2 linked regions of the Arabidopsis thaliana genome follow. The protein of the gene in region 1 interacts with the protein of each later gene in a pairwise test. Each region holds a gene or a part of one and is shown on either strand. Other genes may lie near its edges.

Region 1 (10,926 bases):
GATGTCTCTGTGCCATCTCCCACCGTCCAGTCAATGATGGTTGACTTATCTCCAGGCCTTTGGTCTTCATGACGGTTCATGTCTACCATTTGGCTATGAATCCTCAAGCTACTCTCATCGGCATAAGACGTAGGGATCAGACGCAAGACCGTTAGAATCACTTGTTGGTTACCTCTCATGTGGTCAGCTAATGCCAGGGCCTCTTTGTCGTCATTCCCACCCACGTAAATCAAGCACACCTGCATTTAATGTATGAAAATAAAAAATATTCAACATCATTTAGAATAAACAAAAAAAAACAAAAAAAAAAGAATGTAGTTACTTACACGGCACGGAGATTCTAGGGCTTTGGTTTGCCAAATTGGTTTGCGATAAACAAAGATTCCGACAGAACAAGGGGCGCGTTTCAGAACATTAAGATTAAGACTTCTTAGGGTTTGATCGTCTGAGATAATGACATTTCCGTTAGGCTCCCAAGTGCGGTGAAACGAGAGGAGAATAAGATTGGAACCTTGACTAAGAGCAAACCAACATATTTGTTCATGCATCTCTTTAGCGGAAGTTAAAGACGTGAACATGTTTATGGAAGCGGAGTCCCAATAAACCTCTTGAAACAGTTGGAAAGAGCTTATGACATTTTCGGAATAAGACCGACTTCCAGGCTTTGGTTTTTGAAGCTGGTGGGAGATAAACGTGGGAGTAGCTTGACCCAATAACTCTATTAGGTGAAGAACACAACATTCCATTGGAGAGTCTTTAGATGGGGAAGTTGCTCTAAGAAGGCTAATCATCGATGTTATGTTGTCAGGCTTGTTGATGCACACCAGCGTTTGCATTTCTGGCTTCTCTTTCAAGTTTCTTCTTCCGTAACACACAAATCTCTTAGACCGGTCATACAGGAAATGTATAGCCATTGGTGTTAACAAAGAGTTTACGAGAATGTATACGCCCAGGAGCGACAAGACCTCCAGACTAATCCTCTGTTAAAAATGAGAAACATTAAAACAGAAATATATATACAAATTAAGATGATCATCATATCCGTTATATGAGTATAGCTAAAATATTCTTACGTCTTTTTCGAAGGCTGTAAGTACGTAACCCAACTCGAAACTACTCTTGGTGCCCATAATGACACCTAGGATAATTGAGTCTCTCAAAGGTATCTTTGTAGCTAAGGCGGCTAAAAACGAAGTAGCGAATTTCGCTATGTATACGATGGGAAGGAAGGAAAAACACTCGTACATATGTCCATGGAGATGCCTTCCATTTCCAAACTCCTTTCGTAGAAATGACCAATCTAGTTTGATCATGCTAAGTGATCCAAAGAGGGGTAAAAAAATGCCCTCGTTGAAGCTATCGAATTTTTGTATAAATACTGATCCTAATGGCGGCCCGTTAGGGACAGCCAAACCAAGAGCAAATGCCCCTAGCGGTCCGAAGAATAAGAAGCGGCTCCAATAAAGATAAGATAAGTAAGCAAGCAAGAGACCAATGTAGAGATAGACGTTCTTCACCGGGGCTCCTTCTGGCGTATGTCTTATAACCCAAAGCATAAATTGTCGCACAAGGTACACAAAAATAAAGAATGCCATAAAAGCTAATCCCATTTTCACTCCTTGAGTTTCATCACGGCTAACGTAAGCCGATACAGTCAAGAAAAAGGCAAGCAAATCTGTTACCATTCCCGCTGACTGAGCTATTTGGCCGAAATCAGTGTGAACTATCTTGAGGTCAGTAAGCAACATGTTGACGCAAGTGAAAGGCGTCATGCTCATTGTGAATGTCATTACGGTATACTCCATTTCTGTCATGGTCAGAATACTTGATTTCTCTCTAGATGAATAAAGGAGTTTTCCTATTTGCCATGGGATGATCATTGAGGTGATCCCAATTACAACACTCTTAGTTCCTGACTTTTTCATTATTCCAACATCTGTAGTCACTCCCCTTAGAAACCAATCTAGGACAAAAGCAAATGCGCCTATAGTATCAGGAACCTTTGTCATATACTGGTTATAATGGATAAATATATGCTTTAAACATGGTATTTGCATAGATCCAAACATCTCACTTAAGACTGCTCCGACCTTCAAGAACAAGAAAAGAAAATGTGTTATATTATTCGAACATCCCCAATGACATGCGGATATTTGAAACCCGTAATTACGTACAAGCATCATGGAGGTGAACTTGGGGATAGGAACACCTAACTTCTTGAACAACATATCAAATAAACGCCATAATAGGAATATGGAGAGAATAATGATCTCCAATTGTGGAAGAGGGTACTCCCAAAAATCCATTCCCTTAGATCCGGAAGCCATTTTCTCTGCAACGCCATGTGAGTTCAACATTATATGTGGACTTACATCGCAAAACATCTTCGTCCCCATCTCTGCTCTTTTCTCATCGTTGTTCCACATGAACTCTTTGCGCCAAGTCGCATTTTCTGCATCCATTTGGGACAAATCTTGTCTACGTAAAACCAAAAAGAACAAAAAAAAAAATTGACAATGAAAAGATTTTGCAGTCAAAAAAAGAACTAAAATTAAAACCGGTCTGATGGTTTCACACAGATCCCAAAGGATCTCTAAAATTAGGATAAGGGTATAAATATAGGGATTGTCTCGTCCAGGTGTTGTCTTTGTTTTTGGCGCTTGTAAGTTGTATTACTTTAAAATAAAATGACCTCTTTAGGCAGTCTAAATAAACGCTTTACCCATTTTTAATAAGATGATCCATTAATTAAGACCTCAAATTCAATCTTTTATCAAAGGGAACAGAGCAGAGTACTCTGTTAGGTACCAAAATCTCTTTTTGTTGAGAAAAACAGAGTATTTTGCTCTGTTCCCTCTGATATCTCTAACACATACTAAACTTAATTATAACGTGACAAAGTGTGTATGTTAAACAGACCCTGTTACTACAAGAGAATATATATTTTTGAATTGTGATAACAAAGGCAGCTATAGTTGGAAGGCGTTATCATAGAGCAGGCACTGCCACAAGAAATTACTCTAATCTTGTTAACTCAAAATTTGATTAAAAAAATCGTGAAGTTTATATCATCATATCCAGAAGAAACTCGAATCAATTACTCCATAACTTCAAGCAGCCTAAAACTAATGTTTATTGATGTAGAGAAATACAACATTGAAAAGCTGAGCATTGAACATATCTCGCATTATTTCTTAGAAAGATTTTCTCCTTTGGCTTTTTGTATGATGAATGTACACTTGTTTTTGAACAACCAACACTGATGCACTTGAAGGATATTCATGTGATGCTAATAAATCTCCAATAGGTCCCAATTCATTGAACTCTGTCCATTCACTAATTCCGCTAGTAGCCTCAGTTCCTATTCCGCTGCCGCTTCCAACGATAAACAAGTCATAATCATTTGCCATTGCTCGTAAGATTCTTGAGGTCTCAGATCCATCAGAAACCGCCTTATCGATATATGTCACCTTGGCATCATTTTCTTTGATGTTGGACCCAACGATGCTAGTCACGGACTCCTTTAGGTTAATCGATTGCTGTTGCTCCCACTCATCGTTATCCATTTCAGAAGATTTTGGAATGAATCTTATGATCGTTAGCCTTGTTCGTTTTTCTGTCAGTCTCATTCGATTTGTTATCGCCAAAGCTTCTCTATCGTCTTTTCCACCGTTAAAAATCAAACATATCTGCAAAGATGAGAGTTTTATCAGGTTAAAAATGCTAATATATTAGTACCATTTCTTTTGTTCATCATAAATGGTAAAGGAAAATGAAAAGATTTTCTTTCAGCATTTAATTTCATTTAGACGTTGCAAAAATATTCTTTTAGATTTTATAAAATTCTGAAATTTGTATTTTCACGTACCCAAACGGATAATTAATTAGTTTTCAAAATAAAATGAAAAGCACCTTGCTGTGGGACTTAGCCATATGAGATTCAACGATGGGCTTGCGATAGACGAAGATTCCAACAGAGCATGGGGCTCGTCTCAGGACGTTAACGTTGAGCATTCTCAGATTATCATCGTTGGAGATAACCGTGGATCGATCAACGGACCAGGTTCGGTGGAAAGGAAGCACAATCAAAGATAGGCTTCTGGATAGGGCTAGCCAACAAATGTCCTCATGCATGTGTTGGGACACGGAGACGGAAGTGAAAATATCCAACGATGTGTATTCAAAGAATTGTCTTTGGAAGCCACGGAAGGAGATTATGACATTGTCAGACAGAGAAGTACTTCCGGGCTCTGGTTTTTGCAACTGGTGGGAAATGAACATAGGATTGGCTTGACCCACAAGCTCGACGAGGTGAAGTATGTTACACGCCATTGGGGAATCTTGTGATGGGCTAAAAGTTTCCAAGAGGTCGGTCATGGAAGTTATGTGATCAGGTCTGTAGACGCACATAAGACATTGGAGAGCCGCACCGTCTTTCAAGATGCCCAAATTCCTTTTTCGGTAGCATCTGAATCTTTTGGTTGGGTCATGCACGAGCTCCAAGAGCATTGGTATAAAGATAGAGTTCAAGAGGGTGTAGGCAGCTAGGATTGTGAAAACCTCTGGCCTTATTAGCTGTGAAACATGTCCAAAGATTTGATTAATTTTTATGAAAATAAACTAATTCTTCTGACTTTAAATATATATAGAAGAGTTTAATTGTACGCACCTTTAATTCAACCGCGTACGTGTAGTAGGCGAGCTCGAAGATCCCCTTATTACTAAGCACAAGGGCTAAAGCAAAAGAGTCTCTCAAGGGCATTTTAAAAGCATACGCGGTTATGGTGGTAACAACGAATTTTGTGGTATTCACCAAAAGAATAAAGGAAATGACCTCATAGATTTGACCCTCCATCCGTATTAAATCTCCACTCTCTTTGAACAACCGTAAGAGATCTACTTGCATCATGGTTAATGATCCAAAGAGTGGCAAAATAGAGCCAAGATTAAAGCTCTCAAACTTTTGAATCAAAGTAGTACCTAAAGGATATCCATTTGGAACCGTCAAGCCGAAAACAAATGATCCCGCGGGTCCAAAAAGATGAATAACCTTGTTAAAAAAAGTGAAGCAGGCGAAAGCAATCCCAAAAATCGAGTAGAGGTAGAAATCCTTGACCGGCCTCCCTTCTGGAGTCTGCTTGATCACCCAATACATAGCCGGCCGCACAACGCATATCATAACGACGACAAAGAGGCAGAAACCTACGGTTTGCATGAAGCCGTACAATTTTTCGTAGTAGATTGCATTAAAAAATGTTACACCAAAAGCCAACATGTCAGTCACCATAGCCCCAGAGAGGGCTATCCTCCCAAACTCTGAGTGTTTGATCTGGAGGTCTTTTAGGAGTGTGTCGATGCTCGTGAACGCGGATATGCTTTGCAAGAATATGATCAACCTGTATTCCATCCTTAATATGCTTGAGTCCCCTCTTCGTTCTCTATATCTAAAAGTGAGGCTGCCACAAATCAAGGGTATAATTACTGTAATGAATCCGATCACACTAGACCTTTTCTCCGTCCTAAATGGCAATTCGGCATCCATGGTCACACCTTTGAGGAACCAATATAAAACGAAGCCGAAAGCCCCTAGGGTCTCGGCCACCTTTGGTCGGTTATCATCAGGGAAAAAAATGTCATGGATCCAAGACTTGTTGCTGAAATGGCAAGTTTGACCTAAAATTATCCCTGCCTTCAACAACAAGGCATTACAACGTTTAGGAATATGCACCGTACTGATTTTAAAATTTAAAACGTGGAGGGAAGAGGGAGATTAAGAAAACTCACGATCATCATATATGTGAATCTAGGTACTCGAAGACCAATTTTGTTGAATGAGATGTCGAGAAGCCGCCATATAAAAAAAGTAGAAAAGATTAAGATCTCGAGATTCGGGAGCGGATATTCCCAGAAGTTCATCCCTCTCTTGAAAGTCATAACCTCCCATATCCCGTGCGAATTTACTATGTGAGGGTGTGACTCGCAGAAGATAGACGAGTTCTTGTCTTCATTGAATTCTCCCCATGACACGTCCCAATAACTCATGTCTATCTCCTCTGTAGCCATTTTAAGGAGAAAGACAAAAGTTAACGAAGAGACTTGCTTAGGGATCAAGAAGATCTAATGGAATGATTTAGGGTTTGTAATTCGATTGGGAAAGAAGAAGACTAGGGATGGTTTTGTTATAAACGTTGACTAATTAAGGTCGAATAACCAGCAAACAACAGATACGCATCTCAGGTACAGTTAATATTTACCCATTTTGTTTTCTTTTTATAGCTTCATTCTTCTCCATCTCTTGTTCCTTGTCAACATTAGCACACGTATGATTGTACATCGTCTATTTCACCAATCAACAACGCCAAAGCTATACATATAACGATATATATTTAGGGAATTTTGCATCCACTTGCACACTTTCTCAGGGATATATATATTTTTGTTTTGACAATTTTTTCTATGTTTGGTGAAATAGGAACTTATACTTTAAAATCACCATACAAATTAAGTCATTCAAACAGCTAAGCATGCAAATTAAACCAAATAATATAGCAAAGGAAAATGGATACTAAAAGAGTCTTACTAATCAAGGCAGGGTAAGATAAATAACAATATAAACTAAAGAATATTGTACCTAGGTCAGGATACCAAATTACTCTCTTATAAAATTTCTCCAAATTCAAAATTACTAATTAATGCTTGAACCCTACGTATACGTAAAGCATAATCACAGGATTAAGATTCTTCCAAGTAGTTAGGCATTAAATATTCATTGGCTAGTCGTATTTGTGGTCTTAAGACTATAAAGAAATGAGAACAAGTGTAAATCACCTACAAACCATTTTGAACTCAATTCCTATTGGTTGGTAATAGATTCCTCTAAAGGTTTTAATTGGGTAATTTCATTGAATGTATACTACGTGCGTGAAATTCTCATCATTTTTAATGATCAAATTGGTGGCAAGTAGGTCTTTTAAGACTATATACTAATTTGCTATGTAATTTATTTGTCTAGTTTGCTTATTTTTGCCGTTTTTCTTTATTGTATAGCGAAAAGGAGATTAAAACTTGTAAAACATGTAAATAGATGTAACTCTCACATTGAATGTTAATTTAATTATAAAACATGTACTATTTTTTTCTGATTTCATTGTTTTTAAAAAATTATGTGGAATCAATTAAATTTAAAGTCATATTTGCAAATGTTATCATCACAAGGCCACGGAGACGAACTGTCACTTAAAAATTTGGGGCTACAAATGTGTCTCGTGTGAGAAGTGTATTTCTATTTTTTGTATCTTATAAATGAATAAAGAGTAGTTGCCAATGTAATATCATCTACAAGCTACATTCTGTTGTTGTTGCACCACCAACACCGACCCTCTACGGGGAAAATCTTGAGACACCAACAGATCTCCAATCACACCTAACTCATCAAACTCCGTCCACTCACTCAATGCACTCACCACGTCGGTCCCTACTCCGGCGCTCCTCCCCACCACGAATAAATCAAAAGAATTAGCAATCGAGAGAAGGAGTGTTGATGTGTCGGAACCGTCGTTAACTGTCTCCTCTACGTATTCCACAAAACTATGTTGTCCAACAGTATTGTTATTGTTCCTCAGAACCTCCTTAACCTCTGCCGAGTCCAGCATCTGATCCCACCCTGTAGTCATCCCATCCATTTTCGCTGGGATTAGCTTCAACACTGTCAGGTTCACATTCGGATTCCTCATCATTTGCCTTCCCAATGCCAAGGCTTCTCTGTCGTCTTTCCCGCCCACGAAAATTGCGCAGACCTGGTTTTAGACAAATCAAGTTTCACACGTAAACACAAATTCAAGCACGGAAACTAATGATTAGCGTATGGAACAATCAAACCTTCAAATATGTGTTACCTCAAAAGACGGACTGCTCTTTTGCGCAGATAAAAGCTTTTGACGATGGACAAAGATCCCCACGGAGCAAGGTGCTTGTCTCAAGACATTTAAGTTAGCGTTCCTACGCATGACATCGTCTGAGACCACCGTTGTCTGGTCAAGGGACCATATAATGTGGAAAGGGAGCATGAGAAAAGAAGCTTGTTTGTCGAGAGCGAGCGAGTAAATCTCTTGATGCATGTACCTAGGGTTTGAGATGCATGTGAACAATTCCAGCGATATCGATTTCCAGTAATGTTTGAAGTTATCAAAAGCGATTAGGACGTTGTTTGAATAAGACCGGTTTCCAGGTTCGGCTTTTTGCATTTGGTGGGAGATAAAGACTGGATTGTCTAAACCCACAAGCTCGACGAGGTGAATCACGTAGCAACTTATTGTGGATTCATGTAGAGGAAAAGACTGTGCTAGAAGGTTGATCATCCCTGAGATGTGGTCTGCTTTGTGAATGCACACTAGAAACTTCAGCTCTGATCCAAGCTTCAAGCTCATTAGATTCCGCTTCTGGAAACTAATGAATCGTTTTGACGAATCATATAGGTAATGTATCAACACTGGTGATATCGTAGAGCTCACTAAAATCATCGTTGCCATAATCGTGAAGGACTTCACATGAAGAACCTGTAACACAACAAAATAATCTTATAAGACAGAAAGAAAAAAAAAAACATTAAGTGTTGGAGAGTTGAATTGTCTTGAATATAAAGTTAAATATGGGAACTCACATTGCTTTCAACTCCATACAGAAAATAACACAGCTCAACAATTCCTTTGTTGCTGAGGATGAGTGCCATAACGAAAGAGTCGGTCAGAGGCATTTTGGCTAGCAATGCAGGAATCATTGAGAAGATAATCTTGGCGACAAAGACAACGATGATGATGGTCAAGGCTTCATACAACTGACCGTCAAAATGCCTTAGTTGACCGATCTGGTTAGCTAACCAAGGTCCATCGATTTGCAGCATTGAGAAGAACAAGAAAAGTGGCAAAAGGATTCCAGTGTTAAAGCTTTCAAACTTTTCTACCAGTTGAGACCCTAGAGGAGGACCGTGAGGCACACACAAACCCAAAAGGAAGGGTCCAACAGCCGGAAACATGTGAATTTCCTTCAAAAAGTAGTAACCACCGAAGGCTAAAATGAGTATGATGTAGATGAAGCATTCCTTCACCGGTCTCTCTTGTGGTGTCCGTTTGATCACCCAAAACATGGCCGGTCTCACAACCCAAACCATGAATATGACATATCCGATAATTCCTACGCCTTGCAGCGCAGAAACCCTCCAGTCCATCCAAGCCACAAGGGCAAATAGATTAACACCAAAACCCGTTCCATCCGCCACCATAGCGGTCGAAATCACGATCCTGCCGAACTCTGAGTGGTTGATCCGGAGATCCCTTAATAGCCTTGAGATACCCGTGAATGCCGAGATGCTCTGCATGAATAAAATTGTTCTGTACTCCATTCCTGTCAAGTATTTCCCCCCGGTCTCTCTTAGCTTACCAAACACCATGTTGGCCGCGATAATGGGGAGAATAACAGTGGCAATTCCTGTTACAATCACTTTCGTACCTGTCTTCCTAACCATCCCAACATCCATTTTAACACCTTCGATGAACCAATAAAAGACAAAAGCGAACCCACCTAGCGTCTCAGGCACTTTTGGCCTAGTATCATCCGGGAATAAAATGTGCTGGATCGTCCAGTCATTCGGCAAAAGATTCGTTTGGCTCAAAGCTGCCCCGGCCTTCAACATAATTTTCCGATCAATCAGTCAATGCAAACAACTTTTATACAAAAGAACAAAAGAGGAAGAAAGGGTTCTTACAATCATCATGGAGGTGATCTTTGGCACAGGGAGGCCTATCTTCTTTAGGGATAAATAAAAAAACTGCCATAAACAGAGAACTAGGACGATTACGCTCTCGAGATGGGGAAGACTGTAGTCCCATATCTTCATCCCGCGTATAGGTAAATCTAGCTTCTCCCACACGCCAAAAGAGTTCACAAGAATCGGTATTTGTTCGCAGAACTTGGACCCGTCTTCACTAAAGCCATATCCATGATATGAGAAATCCCCCCAGAAGGTTGCGTTGTATGCCCCCTCATATGCCTCGTTACGCGACTCCATTTCTCCTAGATTCTTTTTCTTCTCAAGAGAAGAAAAAGATCAAGAGAAAGAGATTTACAGTTTCCAGAAAAAATTACAAAATCTTGGTGTTACATTGTCTTATTAGAAGAAATTAACACTACTAAAAATAGTTGATAATCTTTGTCTCTCTCTATTTTTTTTTTTTATCTTGTTGTTGTTAACTGTCTGTTTACGTACCTGGCGACTAATTTATATGTTTGTTTTACCTCTCTGCTTATTTAAGAACCTCCATCAATTTGTGTCTATCCAAGTTTTGTTAGAGATCCCGACATATACGGATTTTGCATGTAATCTTACGTTATAAAAATCTTGATGAAGTTATTAAATCGTCATATATTATTAGAAATAAAAATCGAATCACTTACAGAGCAATAAAAATGTAAAGCATTTTAAGCCCAAAAAAATAAAAAATATAATAATTAATGATGAAAAGAAAAGAGAAATGGAATGACTGGCAGAAAAGAACAAAACCAAAGAGGAAATTTAAAAAGGAAAAACACACACACAATCAATCAATGTCACATATAGCAAATTTTGCACACAAATGAAACCAATTCAAGATGAGGATAAATCAAACTAAAGACGAGTTTTGCATAACACTCTCTGGAATCCATCCAACGAGCTTGATGTAACGTTGATCATTACCGGCGTACACACAGCCTTCAACGTACGTCTTCTCGACCGGAAAATCCACGTCTTGTAGCTCACTCTAGCCGTTATATACACTTCCATTTCGATCGTCCCTTTTGATTTTTCAGCCCTTAAGTCCCTGGCATTGAACTTAGACAGTGCCACATTGTGGGACACAAGCTGCGTCTCAATCCTAGTCTCGTTCTTAGGAC
Region 2 (8,164 bases), on another chromosome or scaffold:
AATCCATTTCTGTCCGTACTTCGCCACACAATATGCATCTGTGGTTCCCCGGCCGTCTTTGGTTTTCATAGGCATCAGACCTGTAGCATTCAGTATCCCCAACTCCAGTACACCGATATTAGGCTTCCATAGTTGCTTCGCTGTTGGTCTAAGATCACTGCTGTAATGCGTAGACTCATCGAGAACGTGATACCCTCCTTCCAAACATATTCTCATGTGAATCCTGCTAGCGAATTTGGTCTCCTTCTTCTCTCCATCGACCATAATATGCTTCTCGAGATTGTACCACCTGCTGTTCACCGGTTTATGGTCAAATCTTCTGTCCAAATACTGCAACGGGATCGCACATCTCCCCAAGACTTCATCTTTGTTTGGAGCAACTCTATCTTCCACGCTGAGGATCAAAGGTTCCTCAAATGGCTCTGCTGCGACAAACATCAAATCCTCATTCCACATGGGATTAATAGTCCTGCTCTGCGATACTCTAGTCCTCAACGCCTGGTTTCCCACTATAGCCTTCACATAAACCTCGGGATATCTTTGCTTATCAGTTGGTATCAAATCTTGAGCTTCAATTACATTAACCCTGAGGTACCAAAGCTTAGGAGAAAGATAAACCTTGGAACGGATGTTGGCAAGAGCATCAGTACCACTAACAGTTGCAGCATCAGAGTGCCAAGCTTCAGGGAAAGCTTCATCAGCTTGAGTACCAAACCAAACAGCCAACATAAGCTCTCCCTTGACTTTATCACCTTTCCTATCCTCGAGCCTATACCATTGCGGAGCCAAGGGACTATCAGGAGGAACTCTCTTAGGTACCTCATTCAAATCAAAGACAACCCGACCAATCAAATCATCTTTGACAAAATCCTTGTCCTTGACAGTAGCTTCAAGGAAAGAAGCTTGAATCCTATCTTTAGAAAAGGCGAAAACTTGGTTCCACTCAGGATTAGATTTCTTCTCGAAATGCCTAGTGGTGCCTTTGTAGTTTCCAAGCTTAACCTCAACATAAGGGTCACAACTACCAGTCATATCCTTGCCAGGTAACTCCTTTGCCTTAACCACACGAACATAGAGATACTGCATTTGCTCAACAAGGTCATAAGTACTGGTAAGCTTATCTCCAGAGAGTTTTCCTCCACCTAGATGAGGTCTCGTCTCCTTCAAGGAGAAATCTTCAGGAGGTGGTCTCTGCATCTTGCAGGCTTTAAGAAGACACACTAAACAAAGTTTCCTACACAGTTCCAAAACCACAAAAACGATTATTAAACATTCATATTCAATATTAGCTTAAAAAAGAGTTAAAAAACTTACTAGTGGGGTTTGTCGAGACAACTAATTTCTTCTCCACTTCAAAATCAGTAAATCTGAGAGAACACAACCATTTCAAAGAAAGCTAAGTGAAAAAACTCAGGTTTTGGGTAGGTGATGAAAATGCAGAGAAATAATAAAGTTGAAAAAGAATCTCGAATAAAGCATCGTATATTTTTTTTCTAGATCTTAAACAAAAAAAAACCTCGTTAGTATCTCCAAGGCAGAATCTAACGGCACAAATTCATGAATCCAAAAAAAAAAAAAACATATTCATGAAGCAACTTCATCGAGAGAAAACATACTTTTTTCTTCTTCTCGGAAACAGAACTACCAAAAAGACAATGAAGCAACGCGAATTACGCTGTGGGTGAAGATTTTAAAACCCAAATTTCCTTCTTTTGTTTCTCGATTTCAATGAGAGACAACACCAAACACAGAAAACGACAGAGAGAAAATAAAACCATGGAAAGGGAAAAAAAGAAGAAGAAGCAGAGAGCATGCGAGTTGGAGAAAATAGCCATTAGAGTAAGTTACAACGAAGAGAACCCTCTACTCAATAAAATTCTCAAAATACATGGAATAGCAGTTAGACGAAGATTAAAAAAAAAAAGGGAAGGTAAAGAAGACAAACCTTAGATCTTGAGAGAAGAATGGATCAGAATAAGAGACCCGGAAACGATTAAGACAGTCTCCTCTCCTCCTCCATAAATAAATACTAAAAGAAAGAGTCTCCTCTCCTCTCTTCTTCCTCGTTTTTTTCAACCCAAAATTAAATTTATAAAAAATTAAAGAGAGAAGAAGACAAGTAATAAAAAGCAGAGGAGAAGTACTGGGAAAAGAAAGTTCTGGAGAGAGTAAATAAACATTGAAGAAGGGATTTGTGTGTGCTCTCTCTCTTGTGTTTTATTGTCGTCGTCTTCTTCTTCTGCTTTTTTCTACAGTTTCCTTCTTTTTTTAACTCGGTGAAATACAAAAAAAAGAGAGGCACTGTTGCATACCAAATCGAGGTGGGGTCCATTTATAAATAAAAACACGCAAAGACATACTTCTCTCAGTTTTGAAATACCCTACATTACACACGTGTGGGAGACGACGGTCCTGCGTAATCTTTCAACGGTGGTCAAATTTTACAAAATTATAATAATCCCTCTTATTAACTTACTAAATATGGAATTTTAGCAGACAAACTATTGCATAATTGTGCAATTGATCTGGCCACTCAAAAGAAATGAAAAACACTATGGAATTGAAGAAGTCATTGGATTCCTCATCCTCGAGTGTTTTGGGTGAAGCATACGTACATTTATACAAAAGCCGTGTTTTGCTTTTTGCTGGACCCCGTTACTATTTTTTGTTAATTTTTCTGGTCAATAACGAAATAAATAAGTTAGGGGGTCCCATTTCGTTTTATCTTGTTGTCTGTCTACATAAGTATTTTTATTTTATCTTTCTTTCCTTCAAAATTTACCTTAAACGTCTAAATCTCTATCACGATCCGAATTCATAATTCCTACATTTATGTGTTTTATCTATCTAGACATGTGCATGCTTTTTTTACTTGATATAGGATTTTTTTATCTTCGTTTATCCAAACAAACAAATAAATGGTCACTGCTTTTGCTTTTTAACAAGTTTTTATTTTCTGTCTATGTAAAAGCCATCATGATTCGTTTAGGTGAATCAGAAGAAAATAACTCTGGGTAAAATTCCAAAATGTATACTATCAAATGGATATAGATAGACGACAAGTTTTAAACGCGTTAGCGAACTCTTCTTGTGGCTTTGGTATTTTAGTTTATTAGGTATAAAATGGAAATCATCCACACTTCGGAGCAATTGTTACAAAAATGCGATTATCTTTCTACCGACTAATGTTGGGTAGACATAATTAGTTTACAAAATGTTCTTTTTCCATTTGTCACCAAAGTTTTCTTCATTATTTTATGAAACAAGACTTGGGCAGTTGGACATATATACTATATTAGTAGTTAAATTGCATATGTTTGATCTGTTGATTTGTATATTCAGTTCTTAAACTAAATAACAAGTACTAACTATATTTCAGTATTTGTATATAATCATTTAGTATCGAAACGGTCTCGTGGTCGTGGCACCTTTAATTGCTGAGAGGGCCGTCTTTTACTTTTCGTTCTAGCTTTATGATGTGCCACCGAGTAGTTAAGAGAATGCTTCTGCTCCAAGTATTTTGACATAATTTAATCAAAAGTATTAGCTACTTTACACGGACAATAATCTAATTTTATAATTAGAGTAAGATAGAAATTAAAGAAGATATTGGTAGTCGTTGCAAATGACACGTGTTGATCATGCTTTGCTCGCATTTGTATAGCTTCGACTTGAAGGATTTCAGTCCACCGTACGTTTACCACGATCGAGTCACCCACTACGGTCATAACTAATACTATAATTTGATAAGTGTAATAAGAAGACAAATGATAAAAAAAAAAGAAGAAGACAAATTTGCTAAGATGACAGTTTGTAATCCATATCTTATCACATCTACAAGAGAGATATATACAACTCTTTTTCTTAAGAGATGATTAATGCGTTAAACAAGTTTAACCAGTTATCAAAAATATGTAAATCTTTTCTCCAGAGGTTTAAAGACAACGTCACGGTAATTGTTTCGTCGAAAAATGACTATTTTAAACTGTACGGTTCATGGTCACTTTTTGTGTATTTACATAAAGAAAAAATATTAAATTTTATACTCAGAATTAGGTATGGGCACGAAGCGGATATCCGGAAAAATTATGATATTTGTTATTCGATTCGTTTTAAACGAATACTTGATTTTGTGATTCGCTTTACTTCGAAAATTTCCAGATATCCGGAATTTCGAATATCCGGAATTTTTTGTGATATTTGCGGATATCCGCTTTGATACATTTAAATATTAAAAAAATATGTATACTATATAACTATATCATATATTCAAAAAATTTATCCGTGCGTTCCTTAATTGGTGTCTCCGTGTGCTTTTAAAATAAGTTCTAAATACCAAACATAACCGTTGTTGGTATCACCGGTCAACAAAATATTATCAAACTAATTCCAAAACTAAAACCCGATAGTTTTTTGATGCCATTGATCAAAACATAACATAAAAAAAAATGATCAAACAAACATCTTAACATAAAAACATAAAATGACAACAATACACAAACTATTTATGATATCTATATATAGATATACTATATTTTCTAATATATATAAAAAGATACGGATCGAAGCGGATATTCGATTTTTTAAAAAACAATATTTATTATTTGATTCGATTTTTACGAATACTATATTTTTCTATTTGCTTTGCTCCAAAATCTTACGAATATTCGGATTTTTCGAATCAAATTAAATCAAATACCGAATCGAAACGGATCAAATCAAATCAAATCAGAATATTGAGCTAGCTGAATGAATGAGATAACCTAAGAATCCAAAAGTTGATAGTGTTCCCTTTCCGAATTCCAATAGTAGCTTGATAACATTTATTTAACGGCGATAAATTCAACCGTTAGTTTGATTACCAATCAAATAATTGCTTGCAATAGACGGATGAAACGAGTGGTAAGAATAGGTGATTGAAACAAACGGTTAAAAGCTTAAACAAAATAGGTGAGTTTGCAACCTCTCTTGTTCACCATTGGAATATTTTAGTTATTTAACGTTTCTTAGATTTTTAAAACTGTAATGTATTTGAATTATTTACTAAAGAGTTTTGTTTTTCTTTGTTTTTTAAATATTTTTAGTTATTTATTAAATATTTTAATTTAGTTTTTTTTTTTTACTGTTTAACCGTTTGTTACTAATCATAACTATTATTTAACGGTTCATTTTAAATTATTTATCATTTTTTCTTTTAATATATTTTCTAACCGTTTTTTTTTATCAGTCTTTTTTGTAAGTGTTAAATAAAATAACCGCCTTATTTAAACGATATTACCAATTGGTTTAATTTTAGGTTGTTCATCTTTTCTAACCGTTTTTTTCTACCCGCCTTTTTCTGTAACTGCTAAAAAACATAACCGTCTCATTTAAACGATGTTTACCCATTGCAAACCATTTTCCTTAAACAAGCGGACAATATTTAAATTGCAATGAAAGCGAGTTATGAGTTCTTTTGGCCTAAACTTCCCAATTTTATCTCTCTTTTTCCCACTAATCTTCTAACAATTTTAATTAACAGTGACAACTTACAAGTACTTAGGTAACCAAGTATATTTCCCTATTGTAAAACCTAATTATGAGTTGTGATGATCACCTTTTCTCCTTTTGACGAACGCTTAGGACCTAACTTATTGCAACAATGGCCTAACTAAAACTTAAATGCGATTTGCATTCAATTCTCAAATGGGCCTCTTTAGTTAACATGTTATCTCCGTTCATCTGACGTGTCATAGCTCAGATCAAAGGTTAATCTACTCGTAAATCCAACGACCAAAGAAACGAAGCGTACGTTACTAACATACACGTGCACGCACTGTAACCATCTCTCTCTCTGCTCTTCTCCTTCAATGAAATGATTCGTCACCCAAAGAAAGATCTGCAACTTCACCACCGGACCAGTCTCTCTCTATCTCTTCTGTCTCTCTACCTCGCGCGACGAATCAATCATGACTGAAGAACAAGACCTCATCGACCAATCACCACCACCTTCAGCACCCGACCCTGAACCAAACTCGAGCACGAATCCGAATTCAGTAATCCATCCAAGGCGTGTGTCTTTCGAGCACGGACTCCTCCCGATCCAGAAACTCGTTTTCACCGACCCGATCCAAACCTTAGCCCCTGTCAAGCAGAAGCTAGCCGATGCGGCTTCGAATAACCGCGTTGGATCGGCTGCAATCGCCGACGTTCTCCAGATCTCCGGCGACCATGCGCGTCTCGTTCTCGAGACTCTCGGTTCGGTGCTTCATTCCGAGTCTGACCCTCTGGTTCGGGCGAAACCTGAGGAAGTTGATTCCGTCGGAGCTGATTTGCGGGATCTTATTTTGTTCCTGTACATTCAATCGTATAAGAAGTTGCTTCCTAGGACGCATAAGGACTCCGCAGCGGTGGCTGATGTTTGGCCATCGACTTCAGCTTTTGATGGATACTTGTCTGCGTTATCGCCAATTCAGGCAAGTTTCTTACTTTTTTTGGCCCTCTTATTATAATGTGCCTCAATCCCAGCGCCTGCGATTTGTTTGGTATTGAAATGGAACTGTTGTACTCGAGTATGGAATTGGAACGTGGTAGAGAATAACTTATTTCCATTTCGCATTGTATTTAACTAAAATTTGCAATGCAAGTTTAAGTTTTCTGAGTCATTTGATTTACCTGAAACTTAGAGTTAAGCAATGTCGGAAATTTGGGTGATTAATTGAATTGATGGTGGCTATAGTTTCGTAACAATTCTCAATGAGGAAGATGCTTACTTGTATTTAATTGCCAGTCCCCTTTCTCTGATGACTCTGGGGCAATGGTAATTGGTTAGTTTACTAACTAAAGTCAAACAGTCGCCAGCTTGCTTTGTTTTGTGGTTCGGAATCTGATTCTTTTTCCGTTGTACCTTATTTTGTTTGGTCCTTTCACGTGGTTTATTTGGTGATAATGCTTGGTGTGTTCTTGAATTTTGACTCGGGTCTCCAGTCCTGTAATATTCTGTTTCCTGTGTGGTATGGATGTTCTATTGAGTCTTTTAGAAAACAGTCATATAATCTTAAGCTTTTCAGTGTTTTCTACAGTCACTGTTCTTTGGTATTCTATCGTTTCTCATCACATGGGTCGAACCAACTTTATTGGAGCTAAAATTGTTATTTATATCTCCTTTTCATCATTTCTGCAGCTTGTTCGCAGCAACAGCCGTCGATTTATGCCATCACAGGCAGATGATGAAGCTCATCAGTTGTCATATCTGCAAAAACATTTAGCAAACATCATTTCTCTCCTTGCAGAGCCTGTGGAGGGAGAAGGAGATGAATCATTGGTAAGTTCTAATCTTTCTTATATTCTCAGGGGGTGTCACTGTTCTAAGCTACAAGAATATAAAATTCTGATGTTGGAATAAGAATTTTTTAGGAAATGAAAGAGAACACAAGTTAATTTTTTTTTTCTTGTCCAATATCGTTCAGGTTTTCTCTATGGAGGCGTTCGAGCATCTGCGTTTTCTTGTTCAGTTTGGTGATAAGGGATCTGATGTATCTCCATTGAGCCAAGCTACTCCTTTTTTTGCAAATTCTGATCCGGATATGCCCGCTGTTCCAGTCCCCGCTTCCCAAGTGCATGACTGGCTTCTGCAAAACATAGCTTCCGCTTTAGAAAGCATTACTGAGAGAATTTCTGGAAAAGAGAACGGACCTTCTAACGATCAAGATGATGCGATGTCAGATGTTTGTGCTGCTCCGAACAAGGTTGCACCTAGTACTAGAGGCCCGTGTTTAATCGAGGGAGTCTCCAAGACTTCACTTGTTAAGCAAGCCTCCGATCTAAGGGGTAGATCTGTGAAGGTCTGACTGTTCCTTGTTCCGTTTTTCTTCCAGTCATGGAATCTCTGTGCAAGCATGTCAACTCCTTGTTTTGTGTATTTTTCAGGTTGTCAATTGCCATGATTCTGTAATTTATCTTTTAGCACCATTGCGATATGCAACTGTGCACGGATGTTCTGATACTACTATAGTTTTGGGAGCTGTTGGCAAGGTATGGAAACAATGCTTCTTCCTTCTTTATCTTTTCTGAAGATAGTCAAAGCAACATTTAACAAGTTATAATATCTGCCAACTTTTATTAAAAGATGTATCAAACATAATTCCGTATTTATTTCTGCAGGCAATAAAAGTTGAGCACTGTG

What was found. The genes of interacting proteins can lie anywhere in the genome.
Region 2: the proteins of CHX6A (region 1) and AT3G57880 interact in a protein complementation assay, tested with the Arabidopsis thaliana proteins (one large-scale study listed by BioGRID).

Annotation. Positions count from the first base shown.
Region 1 is NC_003070.9:2,549,012-2,559,937, forward strand, and holds CHX6A (cation/H+ exchanger 6A), read right to left. Parts: upstream 6,219-10,926; 5' UTR 6,064-6,218; coding exon 5,785-6,063; intron 5,690-5,784; coding exon 4,670-5,689; intron 4,576-4,669; coding exon 3,913-4,575; intron 3,690-3,912; coding exon 3,195-3,689; 3' UTR 2,924-3,194; downstream 1-2,923. Other genes in the region: CHX6B (cation/H+ exchanger 6B), read right to left, coding at 1-239, 327-980, 1,074-2,090, 2,175-2,462; ATCHX5 (Cation/hydrogen exchanger family protein), read right to left, coding at 7,332-7,796, 7,896-8,555, 8,660-9,679, 9,761-10,063; AT1G08160 (Late embryogenesis abundant (LEA) hydroxyproline-rich glycoprotein family), read right to left, coding at 10,661-10,926. UniProt on the Arabidopsis thaliana protein: May operate as a cation/H(+) antiporter.
Region 2 is NC_003074.8:21,432,323-21,440,486, forward strand, and holds the start of AT3G57880 (Calcium-dependent lipid-binding (CaLB domain) plant phosphoribosyltransferase family protein), read right to left. Parts: upstream 2,327-8,164; 5' UTR 1,946-2,326; exon of another isoform or gene 1,368-1,945; 5' UTR 1,315-1,367; intron 1,235-1,314; 5' UTR 1,198-1,234; coding exon 1-1,197. Other genes in the region: AT3G57890 (Tubulin binding cofactor C domain-containing protein), read left to right, coding at 5,949-6,455, 6,967-7,074, 7,163-7,303, 7,449-7,823, 7,909-8,013, 8,143-8,164. UniProt on the Arabidopsis thaliana protein: Required for proliferation and differentiation of shoot stem cells in the shoot apical meristem (SAM), thus determining the appropriate balance between the maintenance of shoot stem cells and their differentiation into other aboveground plant parts via the control of subcellular localization and intercellular trafficking of STM in the shoot apex.